3 linked regions of the Saccharomyces cerevisiae S288C genome follow. The gene in region 3 interacts genetically with the main gene of each other region. Each region holds a gene or a part of one and is shown on either strand. Other genes may lie near its edges. The genes, in order: YNL092W, SAP1 and ATG23.

What was found.
Region 1: mutations in ATG23 (region 3) and YNL092W together harm fitness more than expected from each alone (negative genetic interaction), as found in Saccharomyces cerevisiae (one large-scale study listed by BioGRID).
Region 2: mutations in ATG23 (region 3) and SAP1 together harm fitness more than expected from each alone (negative genetic interaction), as found in Saccharomyces cerevisiae (one large-scale study listed by BioGRID).

What each region holds. Positions count from the first base shown.
Region 1 is NC_001146.8:448,917-452,655, reverse strand, and holds YNL092W (S-adenosylmethionine-dependent methyltransferase), read right to left. Parts: upstream 1,786-3,739; coding exon 583-1,785; downstream 1-582. Other genes in the region: NST1 (Nst1p), read right to left, coding at 1-248; Rab family GTPase YPT53, read right to left, coding at 2,126-2,788; phosphatidate phosphatase APP1, read right to left, coding at 3,282-3,739.
Region 2 is NC_001137.3:243,306-248,534, forward strand, and holds SAP1 (putative AAA family ATPase SAP1), read right to left. Parts: upstream 3,199-5,229; coding exon 505-3,198; downstream 1-504. Other genes in the region: SPO73 (Spo73p), read left to right, coding at 1-306; CAJ1 (Caj1p), read right to left, coding at 3,677-4,852.
Region 3 is NC_001144.5:999,690-1,003,340, forward strand, and holds ATG23 (Atg23p), read right to left. Parts: upstream 2,015-3,651; coding exon 653-2,014; downstream 1-652. Other genes in the region: DNA/RNA helicase SEN1, read left to right, coding at 1-440; IMP dehydrogenase IMD3, read left to right, coding at 2,868-3,651. UniProt on the Saccharomyces cerevisiae protein: Required for cytoplasm to vacuole transport (Cvt) vesicle formation and efficient autophagy. Plays a role in ATG protein retrieval from the pre-autophagosomal structure (PAS) and is especially required for autophagy-dependent cycling of ATG9.

The sequences.
Region 1 (3,739 bases), on a different chromosome or scaffold from region 3:
GTCAAGTTCGCCGTACGTTCTTTCTTATCATCGTCTGTATTTATTGGTTCCACGATGACATCGCCATTGGGCGCTCTTTTTATTACTCTTGAAGTTGGGTAATCCGATTCTGTATGATACAACTCTGGCTCCATTCGAGGTACTAGCTGTGTAGGATTTATACTTTGTTCAGGATCAGAGTTGCCATTTTTCTTGTTGTGTTGCTTGGATTTGTTCTTTCTTCTCTTACTCTTGGAGTTTGGGGGCATCTTTGGCAATTTCCCCAATTTTTCACTTATAAAGATTGCTTATTGTTGAAAGTAATGGCCTTAAGCGATAAATGCACCTGGAAACTGAAACGATAAAGGAGCTTATAAAGTGAATCAATTATGACAAATCACTCTTCTTCTAGCTTTGATATATAGTTCAAATTGAGGGCTTTATGTATTACTGGATCTAGGCTGATAACCAGTACTGTCAATATGGTAAACAGAACATAGCGAGAGGGAGCAAAAAGAATTTTCCGCGCGGGTAACATTCTGAGTTCTCTAAAACGGCTGTGTCAGCAACTTCTATATAGTGCAATTAGATTATTGTGTAAGCTTATGATTCATTGGTGGGGTTCGACTTCAGGATCCAATAGTGGCACATGTATCCAGGCATGGCGCAACTTTCTGGACCCGCGTAGCGGCCATACCCACAAAGTATTCCTGACTCTCTCCGTATTAATTCAAAGTCCAGATGATTTGTGGCAATGCTTATGATATCATCGCTAGAAAGCTCTAAACCCATCAGTGGTGTATAGTCATTGATTTTATCTTGAAACCCAGAGTAAGGGTTAACTTCGTAGGTAGTTTCAACCCCATGGTCATTTTCAAAATGATAAAGCAATGGGCCGAAATTGCACCAGATTCCGCCTGGCTTCAAGACGTGGCCAATAGTATCCAAATAATCCAAGATGTTGGATCCCGTATCTATAAAAAAGTTTGTTACTACAACGTCTTTGGAGTTTTCAGCTTTTGCTCTACTTAGTTGCATCCTTCGCGAAAATGTATAATGTGACGAGATTTTTGTGCCTTGATTACGACCATAACAATCAACAAACGAGCCAGCACATATCGACATGGACCCCATACCTTTATTTGAAGACCACGCTTCTATGTCCGGCACCTTAATGGGAGACAACTGATCTTCAATTTTTTTCCAGTGGGAGAAACAGTGTATGAAGGGATAGATAATAATTTGGTTTTGGAGTAATCCTGCATTCAACATGTATTGAGATACAAGCAGCATGTGATATGAAAATTCGTTACCTTCACAATTATAGCCCATTCTGCTAAGATCCACGAGAAGGCGTCCTGTGCCGCAACCCGGTATCAAAATGTCGGCTTTTGGGGGTGATAGGGTCTTCAAAAACGGTACAAGCCTCGAATTTAAGCAATTACGTTCAGAAATGGCCTCTGCGGACCACTCCCTATAAACTTGCGTAAGTAAAGAGCATGTTTTACTCATATCTAAATCGTTTGGTTGTACGATTTCTCCTGGCTCAAAACTTATTGATTGCAGGGCATATTCGGCGACACTTCTAAAGAACTTGCCATTTTCTATAATTGCGGCTTTCAGATTAGCTAAATATTTTGTATAGTTTGGTACCATGTCTTTTTGACGATCTGAGATCGATGCCCATTTTTTCACTCTCAAATTGTAGATTTCCTTTAGGGCATACTCTTCATACTTAAGAAATGATATGATCACTCGAGCTACAGCTTTATTCTCCCTTTGATTATCAAATTCATTCTCGTCCATAGTCAAAATTACTGATATGTGTTCACCTCTAATTAATTTTCAGATCCTCACCAATTTTTGCCGCTGGTACACCAAAATAACAGTAGCTGATTTTGTATAAATTACAAACTATAGTACGTAAAGGCCTTGTGATTCTCGATCTGGCGATGAAAATTCCCGCCCCTAAAAAAAGTGTATTTCTTGCGGCTAATGGAAGTGAAACAAAAAAGTGCTTGTTTTGCAAAAGTAATTGAAAATTTCCAGTACTATTCTTCCAGCTGTTGTTACGAACTGTTCTTTTCAATGGCAAGCTTCGCTAAGACGCTGAATATGCCGCGTTTGCTGTTGTTTTGCTTGCAGTTTAGCAGTTACAACCCCCAGTCTCCCTAGTACTTTCTACAGTCGTTGATTCGAGATCGATTCGTTGATTATCGGTAATTGTGCGATCATGAGTAGAGCTTTGTCGTGTATTTTGTTCAGGACATGGTACTTTTTCGCCTAATGTTTGAAATATCTGGTAAATATTCTCACCAGTCTTAGCGCTTGCTTCGAAATATAAGAGGTTCTCTCTTTCACAGAGATTTTGTACAGCTGGTGCTTTCATAGCCCTATTTTCATTCTCGTCATCATTATTCAGCAAATCCATTTTGTTCCCCACCAAGGCAATAACGATATCATGTCCTACCTTCTCGTGTAGTTCTTCGACCCAGTTTTGAGCCTTATAAAAAGACCCTTCATTAGTAACATCAAAAACTACCAAAGCAGCTTGAGCATTTCTGTAGTACATAGGCGCTAAAGGAGCAAATCTCTCCTGGCCTGCCGTATCCCATATTTCAAATTTAATGACCTTGCCATCCCTTGTAATTCTCTTTGTTAAAAATGCGGCACCAATAGTAGGTTCTTTGCTCTCTTTAAAATCGTCAGATACAAACCTGAGGACTATTGAGGACTTCCCGACAGCAGATTCTCCGAGTAAGACTACTTTGATAGTTAATGTTGGAATAGCTGCTGTATGTTTATCCATTCTACTTAACTTCGATGCTGAAAAAATGTAATAAATAATTTGAATCTAACTCTATTTGGTCAATATACGTGCATTCAGAAGGCCTTTCCCGACTTATAATATGACAATATTTAATAAATTCTACGGATTTATTTTATTTACATGGGAAGAGGCTTTGCAGTTTAAGGACCCCTTCCGCCCCGGAAATTGACATTTTAGGGTATGGTTGGTCACCAAGGCGTACGCGATAATCAGTTGGAATGGAAAGATAAACTGAGTTTAGGGTATTTTGTAAGAGTGTATTTGATCGGCAACCGAAGATTTTCTTTACTCTTGACTTCATAAAATTTACATATTTACATTTAGCCCTTCTATAACCGTTTTTTTAATTTCCCGATCTGATGAAAAGGATGCAACATCACTCTAAAACGTTGAAAATGGCTCCAATTCATAAGGTCACTTTAGTGTATACAATTTTTAAACTCCCTCCCGATGTATATAAATAACAGTGTATTTAGTTTGAATACTTCTCCCTAATTCTGCGAATACTGTCTTCCAAACTTAATGCCGGATCCGAAAAGAACATCAATGTGGTGTCTTGATTGCTCAATTTTTGAATTGAGTCCATTACTCTTCTCTTCCATTCATCTGCTTTTTTATCCATGAAAGCACCATACATGCCATAGTCATTTTGTGAGGATGGTACATAGTAAGTATTAGCGTCTAAGTTAGGTAACTGTCTGTTCGGCAACGGTGGTGGGGCAACTCTTTTAGCATTGTTCTCATCTTTATTACGGCGTGACATTCTTATACTTTCGGTTTGCTCTTCTGTCAACGATGGCTTTTGAGTGGAAGGAATGGGAGGTGGTGGTGGTCTTCTCCTGGTACGTACGGTAGACTTGGTCATTTGCATGGGCCGTTGTTGTAATTCGATGATATTGTTCACTTCATTCATAACTTCTTCATCATGCG
Region 2 (5,229 bases), on a different chromosome or scaffold from region 3:
GACCCACCACAATTTCAAAGACTAAACACTGAAAATGGCTCGTTAATTGCCCTGTCGAAAAATACTATATCGAACTTCATAGAACTGTATCCTATCGATCTGAGTACTGAACGCACTGCAGGCAGTAGCAGTTCACAGATGACAAAGTGGTTCGTACTGATGGATTACAAGGAAAAGTACGATATTGACGATCAAGGATGGTGTTATAGCTGGAATTTCAATAACTCTAGGTGGAAATCGAAAAATGGCTTGGTGAGAAGAAGGGTCTGGGTAAGACTACCTACGACCAGTCATGGATTAGATTAGTAATAGTTTACGCTAATATTAAATTGTTTAACAAACTAAGTAGTCAAAAAAAAGAAAAAAAAAAAAAAAAAAAAGAAAAGGTGACATTATGCAGAACATATTTTATCGATCCGCTTATGTGCACACAGTTTGTCCAGCTAGGCTAGAATATTATTTATTATTACCATTATTATTATATTATTATTATTATTATCATCATCATGAACCTGATGATCCGAATTGTGAAGCCCACTTTTCGTACTTCACTAATCCGTCCTGGGATACAGAGGGCTTGATATACACTAAACTGTTCTTAAAATCCACAAGGCCTATGGGTCTTATCATCTCCCTCTCTGTTTCTAATAACTTATCACCCAGATCTCGTAGTGGGCCCATGGCAGCATCCTTCGCTAAAGACGTTATATCACTTCCTGAATAGCCCTCAGTAATCTTTACCAGTTCATCAAAATCTGATTCGGTTAACGTGTGCTTTTGATGGGAAAGAAGCTTCTTAAATTGAACGTGTCTGGTCTGGTCCTCTGGTAATGGGATATATTGTCTTCTCACAAATCTTCTCCTTGCAGCCTCATCAATAGACCATGGTAAGTTTGTCGCGGCAAGTACCAGTACCCTTGTATCATCTTCGTCGCCATTGGTGTCAGAATTGTTAGTGTTACTTTTGTTTGAACCAGCCGCTGCGCTGGACAAGGATGACCACTGAACAAGAAATTCATTCTTTATCCTTCGGCTTGACTCATTTTCATTTTCGTTATTCCTACTACCCATGATAGAGTCAATTTCATCAACAAATATTATAGAAGGTGACAATTTTTTGGCAATTGCAAATAGTGCCCTCACTAATTTTTCACTTTCACCCAAGTATTTAGATGTCAAACTGGAAGCACTAATAGAGAAAAAGGTGGAGTGCGACTCTGTAGCTACAGCTCTCGCTAGCATTGTTTTACCTGTACCTGGTGGTCCAAATAAGAGCATCCCCCTGACTGGTTCACGTAACCCCCTGAATAAGTCTGGTCTCAAAAACGGATAGACAACTGCTTCCTTCAAAGAATATTTTGCACTTTCTAAACCAGCAATATCATCCCAATGAACTTCATCTCCGTGCACTACGATTTCGGCAAAAATTTGCTTTGCAGCTTGCCTATCTACACCTTGTAAACTATCAATAATTTCATCTTCTAAAATCTCCCTCAGGACTTTCTTGTCTATTTCAGGCTCTTCTCTTTGCTCATTTAGGGAAGTGGCATGTTCAGTGGCATCTTCTGTTCCAACATCTTCTATTTTTGGAGAACCGATTTTTTTTTGTGCTGGTATTTTTCGATTCGTTTTACTCATAGACGTGGTTTGATTTTTCGATGGCTTCTTATTCTGGGATGCACCATGCGAGTATGGTTTTGAGTTACTTACAGGTCTGGAAGGATGGCTACTCGTTTTCTTCGAACTGGAATTTGGGACTTTCGCCGTTTTGGATTTCAAAATGGGGTGACTCTTCTTCGTAGTGTTTAATGCGGGGTTACTCGCAACCTTTTTGCTGTTCAGAACTCTCTTAGCAGCCATTGCAGCCGTTTTGGGTTTTTGAATTACTGAATTTGGAACAGTCAGAGAAGAGGTCGGAGACGATGCATTGGATTTGATGATTGGTTTTGTATTACTTTTTGATCTTGTAATAAATGTTGGCGTTGATTTAGTGATAAGAGTGGGCGTTGATTTGGTACCCTTTAAGTATGGTACGTGATTATTCTTCATTAATTTTGATATTTGAGGATTCCTAATCTTTGATGAATCCATAGTAGTAGAAGTTTCTAAACTATGTGGCTTTAGAGCGCCAGTGCTGGACGCTCTATCGACATTTAATAAAGGAGGTGGAGGTAATGAAGGAAGAGCAGGGGCGGTAGTCGGCAGGGACTGTATGCATGATCCGGGAACATTTTCTGAAGAACTTACACTCTTATTACTGGACGTAGAAGAAGTAACAGACAAGTCAGACATTTGCTGTTGAATTGCTTCTAACGTTTTTATACGTCGTCTTTCCTCTTTTTCTTCTTCTTCTTCTTCTACGTCGACTTCGGAGAAATTATCATAGTAATCGGACACATCAAACTCGAAACCATCACTTTCTTCTTCATCAAAAACGTTGTGTCCTTTTAAAATGCCGACATCGTGATCATCCTCGTCATTAGTCAAATCTATCAATATTGGCTCTGAGATATATTTATCTGAGTACAGTTCAGTTTCCTTCTTAAGTGGAGGATCATTGTGCTCAATAGGGTTCTTGTGCTGTCTGCTTGCATTGTTGGATAAAGGCTTAGAAGGTACAAAATTTACTCTAATGTTCTCCGCATCTTCTCCGCGTTTTATCGATGTGCTGTTACCATATGATGATAGTGAGGGGTTGGAGTATGCGGTTTTATAGCCGCATGCATTTCTATTTCTTAATGTTTTCATCATTCTTCCGGGAACCATTTGGAATACAGGAGGTGGTTCAGTAGACCTTGTGAAAGATGAGCTATGATTAGTGTATGTTTTGGATGACGGCATATCATTCCTGGGAGCAGGCTCTTCTCGGACCAATTTTTTGACTCTTTTCAAATGCATAACGCTCTTGTGGTACAATTCTCGAATACCGTTCTGTAAACTAACTTCATCTTTCGTGTATGATTGAGTATTTGGGTAGTTATGCTCTATCAATGTCTGTTTGAATAGTACATCAGTGGTAAGCGCTTTCCATCCTTGCAATGCTTCTTTATATCGTTTTTTCTCTTCTAGGTTCAAGTAATATATTGTCTCATTGGCAATTCTACTGTAAAGTTCTGTAAAGTCGGTTAACGGTTGTTGAGGTCTTCTCCGTATCTTGGTTAATCTCGTTAAAATATGATGGCTTCTTTGTGAATCCATAGTGTCACAGTGCGATATAATCAATCCTGGTAAAACCGCACGAGTGAAAGGGAAAGAAAAATTGCGTTTGTTAGCTGCAATAAATGTAAAAAGACTATATTAAAAAAAGAACTGCAGCCTTTATTATTACCAATATATTTGATAAGAAAGTATATCGGACGCGTATTGTAGTTCTTGGGGAGCCGGTTGCTGTTGCTTCAGCCTCTTATGACCGTGAATCAAGAATTTTTATTATTCTTGATTTCAATTTTCTCCGCGAATCTCGGCTAAGATGCTTGGGTTGCCAGTGTTAATTCCATATATATACTGAATAATAGAAAATAAGTTAAAACATAAGTGCTGAAGACTTGAAAGGTTGGTGTGAGAAAACCCGTATGCCTGTGATATGTCTAGAATACATAGGGTTTTTTTTCTTCGCTTTGTAATTGATTGCGCTATATATGAAAAATATACATGAGGCGTTATTAACTTGCTGAGCTTATCTGGCCACAGTATGTTTTTTGTGTTCCTTCTCCTGCTCACCTAGGATTAGCTCTTCAAAAACTCTAGCTTCTTCAGCTTCTTCTGGTGACCTTCTAGCACTGGCAAACTTGTGGGCAATAAACAGCATTGCTTTTGCCTTTGCAATACGTTCCTTGGAAGGGACCTTTTTATCGTTTAGAATCTTATTGCAAACGTCTTTTAGTTTTCTTTCCAGTTCAAATTTCGACATAGCCCACATGACACCAAGTGCCTTACCAGCCATTGTGGACTCAAATTTGGCACGTTCATATTGGTCTAGTTCGTCAGTATTGACTTCACTCATTTTTTCCATGGCTTTTTGAGCTTCTAAGCCTGTAGACAATAAATTGTATGCTGATTTAACAGATCTAGCATTGTCGCGTGTACCAGTGAATATTTTAGAAATTCCGTAAGTCTTCTTGGACATGATAAAATTATTCGCTTTTGTCTTGTAAACCCTGGCCAATAAATACAATAACTCTAGACCAAAACTTTCTAATTTCAAATCCTCGATTTCTTGATCTAGTTTTCGCGTAAATTCCTCCAAGTTATTGGACTTCACAGCAATTAAGTACCTAGAGATTTTTTCGTTCAGTTTTTCTGCCAACTCGTCGACTTGTTTCATCATATCTTCCCGTCTTTTTTTCTCCATTTCCATTAGCTTCTCTCTTTGCTCCTTCGATAATTTATCTTTTTTCAAAGATTCAGCTTTATTAGTGTCATGCTTAACCATTCCACCATCAGTGCTCTCATCTGCTTTTTCGGTTTCAGTGGCTGCTGTACCCTCCTCATCTTCCTTTCCAAACATTTCTGTTGCCTCGTTTAGCTCTTTGAACAAAGAAAATTCTCCAATCCAATCTTTGAAGCCATCACCACCGAATATTGCTGTAAAGTATTCAGAAGCATCTTCAAATCCTTGCTGAGGAACAGCATCCTCCTTACCAAACTGGTCATACTTGGAACGAAGCCCTGGATCACTTAAGACTTGGTAGGCCTCGCCTACGGCTTGAAACTTTGCTTGAGCATCTGGGTCATCAGGATGCTTGTCCGGATGTGTTTCCATAGCCTTTCTACGATAGGCCTTTTTGATTTCAGTGGGCGTGGCCTCAGGCTTGATGCCCAAAATATCATAATACTCCGTCTCCTTTACCATATTCCCTCTTTTCTTTTCCTTTGAGTTAATACGTCTTAATTACGTGAAGCCGACAATTATCTAAGTTGCTCTTTTTACAGGCGTAAACCATTGGAAAGCAATGGTTACGGCTAACCGCGGATCCGACTATATCACCACTTTAACACTTTATCGTCCCTGTTTGTCCTTGGCAGTGTACATTCGCCATCAAATTTTCCGTTCTCCGCCCCATCTTGGTATGACGGGCGAAAACACCGCAGTGACGTTCCCAGGGTCTAAAACAATCCATAGGAGAACCACTTCGATTCACTGTCTTACTTCTCAAATACGAAATTTTTTGGATTAATCATCATTGTTTATTTCTGAAACGCTAACCGAAAGTCTTCATCATTTGATTT
Region 3 (3,651 bases):
TCAGCGCTAGTATATACGACGATCCACAAGTTTCGCAAGCAAAGCAGACGCAGGTACCTGCTGCTATTACAAAACACAGAAGTTCAAATAGTGTTTTATCCGGTGGTTCTTCGAGGATCCTGACTGCTTCCGATTACGGTGAACCCAATCAAAATGGACAGAATGGAGCAAATAGGACCCTCTCTCAACATGTGGGTAATGCGAATCAATACTCAACGGCTCCTGTGGGTACAGGCGAACTGCATGAAACTCTGCCCGCCCATCCGCAAGACAGCTATCCTGCTGAGGCAGAAGATCCATATGATTTAAACCCCCATCCGCAACCACAATCTTCAGCATTCAAAGGACCTGGTAGTGGGCCCACAGGCACACGCAACAGTTCGAGACGGAATGCTTCATCTAGCCCATTTATCCCAAAAAAAAGAAAGCCTAGATCATGATCTTGAAGTAAAAGTGTTAGGAATTATACCTGCATATATATTGGTGTATACATTTATATTGAATTTAATAGCAACATTATTTTTCATTATTTTTCATTATTTCAGCAAAAAGAACATTTTTTTTCAATTTGACGTGAAAGAGTTTGACTATTACGTGGGCATACAATGTTTAAATTTACATTATCCTCATGGCTACTCTAGCTATTTGCATTTCATTCAACTTTTTTTGATATGGCATCATTTTTATTAGCGTTTACTACACTTTCAGAAATGCCAATCTTTGGTGGCGATTTGCTAGCAACCAAGAATGAGGGAGTCGAGGGCTGTTTTAAATTTGAACTCGCGTTCGACCCTTTATGGCTTTTGTGTATATCAATTGGTTTAGAAGGTAGTGCGCTTGACCCATCTTGTGCAGTGGTACTTTCGCTATGGAGTTCTTCACAAGCTTTCGAAAGTACGTCCCTTTCGTTTGATATTAAAGTTGTCGTGAGCTTTTCATCAGAAGAGTCAAGAAGGTTATTTAGGTACTGTATTGTAGAATTGATCATTTCTGACATTTCATTTGGAGGTATTTTGGAGTTGCTGCTGCTCCGAAGTTTGGTTATTAATTTGCTTTCCAAATCTCCTACTTTTTTTTGACAATCTAGCCATAATTCACGTTGCGTTAGTACTGTAGAAGACTCATTTTTATTTCTCATTAGTTGCTCTTGTAGATCTTCAATTTTCAGTTCTATGAGATCCTTCATATGAACAAAATTTTTCATGTTGATAGTTTGTCTCTCATTGTAATCTTCATCCGCGCTGGACAGCCTTAAATTGAATATCTTTTCTGATAGTGATTTTTCCTGTGTCAGGGGCGACTCGAATCCTATTCTTTTCATTAATTGATGCTTAGATTCCTCTATCTTGGACAAATGAAAATCAATATTACCCATTTCGGAACGTATCCGTCCAGATTGCCTTTTTAACTCCTCTTCAATGAATTTATTGTCCTTTTTGAAGTCTCTTAATAAAGTTTCCAGCCTTATTATTTCTGATTTAGCTTGCTTATGAGATAATTGTAACAGTTTGTAATTACGTATCATTTGATCCGCAGAAGATTCAGCGTTCTGTACTTCCTCGATCATTGCATCCGAATCATCCGTATTGGATAGTATTGTATTTTCTGCCCCCACTGACTCGATATATTTGTTTAGTGATGTCCGGTGGTGCGATGAAATGGTAATTATGGCGTCCTTATCGATAACATAGTCCGCCGGCGCAGCATCGGTTTCTTGCTTAATATGCCACGACTTCCGCTCTTTCCAAAGAAGCTGCTCTCTTTCGTTCAGTTCTAGTAGCTCTTGTTTGTCTCGAAGTAAGGACCCAATTTCTCTTTTCAATAGACCATCATGGGATACTAAGAGATCATTAATTCTGCATAGATCGTTTAAGCAAATAGTGATATCCTTCCGGATGCTTGTCACCTGGGAAGCCGAATTTACATCAGACAACGCTTTTTCGTGAAGCCCGACCAGAGTGCCTAAGTATTGCAGAATCTGCTCCTTTTTTTCTAAAACCTGATTCAGTTCCATATTTACTTCTTCACTTTATTTTGTTACCTTATAGAACAACGAGGTTAAAATGTGGAACAAGAAAACGAAAATAATCACTTGAACTAAAACGTACTCTATCCTTCACTTTTCCATTCCTTAGCCGGTTCTCCAATAGATATATACAGACGTTCTCTGTGTTCTATTATTTGTATATGATTTACACTATAAAAAGACTATCTATACCTTTTGTTAATTGCGCACCTAAACGCCAGAGCTTACGCCCTTAAATTTTTTGAACATATGCGCTGATACCCTACAAGTTGTCCTAGGGCTAGGATATCGGGAAAAAAGAGACAAGGGAACTTGAAAAACCATAATTCCCAATACATAAACCTGTTACTTGATGGCTAACAAGATGTACTTTTTTCCAGTGACCCAGTGGCTTCTTTAACCACTATTGTGTTCATTTCTAACTCTGGTTAATTACATAAATATTAGCCTTCAAAGCCGCACACGTTTCTTTTTCCGAAAAATGAAAAATTTTTCACTGAAAAAAAAAAAAAAAAAAAGAAGAAATAGAAAGGTATAAATAGTTGAATAATTTGCCCTTCCGAGATCCAACAAGATTTTTGAGTGTTGGGACCCTTGGAGGTTTACTCCAGTTTCGTGGGCTTGTGCATTTTCACCTAGTGTACTGGGAACTTTCTCTTTTTTACTCTATTTCTTTTCTTTCTTGCTTCTATATAACTTAACTTAGAAAGACTTTCTAAACTCGCAGAAAAGCACGTCATCTCATCTGTCTCACTTTTATTCTAAGGAAAAGAAGTCATCGACAGGTTAACAGCAGTAAATATTATCAGTGCAATTAATAACTCCGAAAGTAGTAAAAGCAATGGCCGCCGTTAGAGACTACAAGACTGCCTTGGAATTCGCCAAGAGCTTACCAAGACTAGATGGTTTGTCTGTCCAGGAGTTGATGGACTCCAAGACCAGAGGTGGGTTGACTTATAACGACTTTTTGGTTTTGCCAGGTCTGGTTGATTTCCCATCTTCTGAAGTTAGCCTACAAACTAAGTTGACAAGGAATATCACTTTGAACACCCCATTCGTTTCCTCTCCAATGGACACCGTGACAGAATCAGAAATGGCCATCTTCATGGCTTTGTTGGGTGGTATCGGTTTTATTCACCACAACTGTACCCCAGAGGACCAAGCTGACATGGTCAGAAGAGTCAAGAACTATGAAAATGGGTTTATTAACAACCCTATAGTGATTTCCCCAACTACTACTGTGGGTGAAGCTAAGAGTATGAAGGAAAGATTTGGATTTTCCGGTTTCCCCGTTACAGAAGATGGTAAAAGAAACGGAAAATTGATGGGTATCGTCACTTCTCGTGATATTCAGTTCGTTGAAGACAACTCTTTGCTTGTTCAAGATGTTATGACCAAAAACCCTGTCACCGGTGCACAAGGTATTACATTGTCTGAAGGTAATGAAATTTTAAAGAAGATTAAAAAGGGTAAGCTATTGATTGTTGACGACAATGGTAACTTAGTTTCTATGCTTTCCAGAACTGATTTAATGAAAAATCAGAACTATCCATTGGCTTCTAAATCTGCCACCACCAAGCAACTGTTATGTGGTGCTGCTATCGGTACTATCGATGCTGATAAGG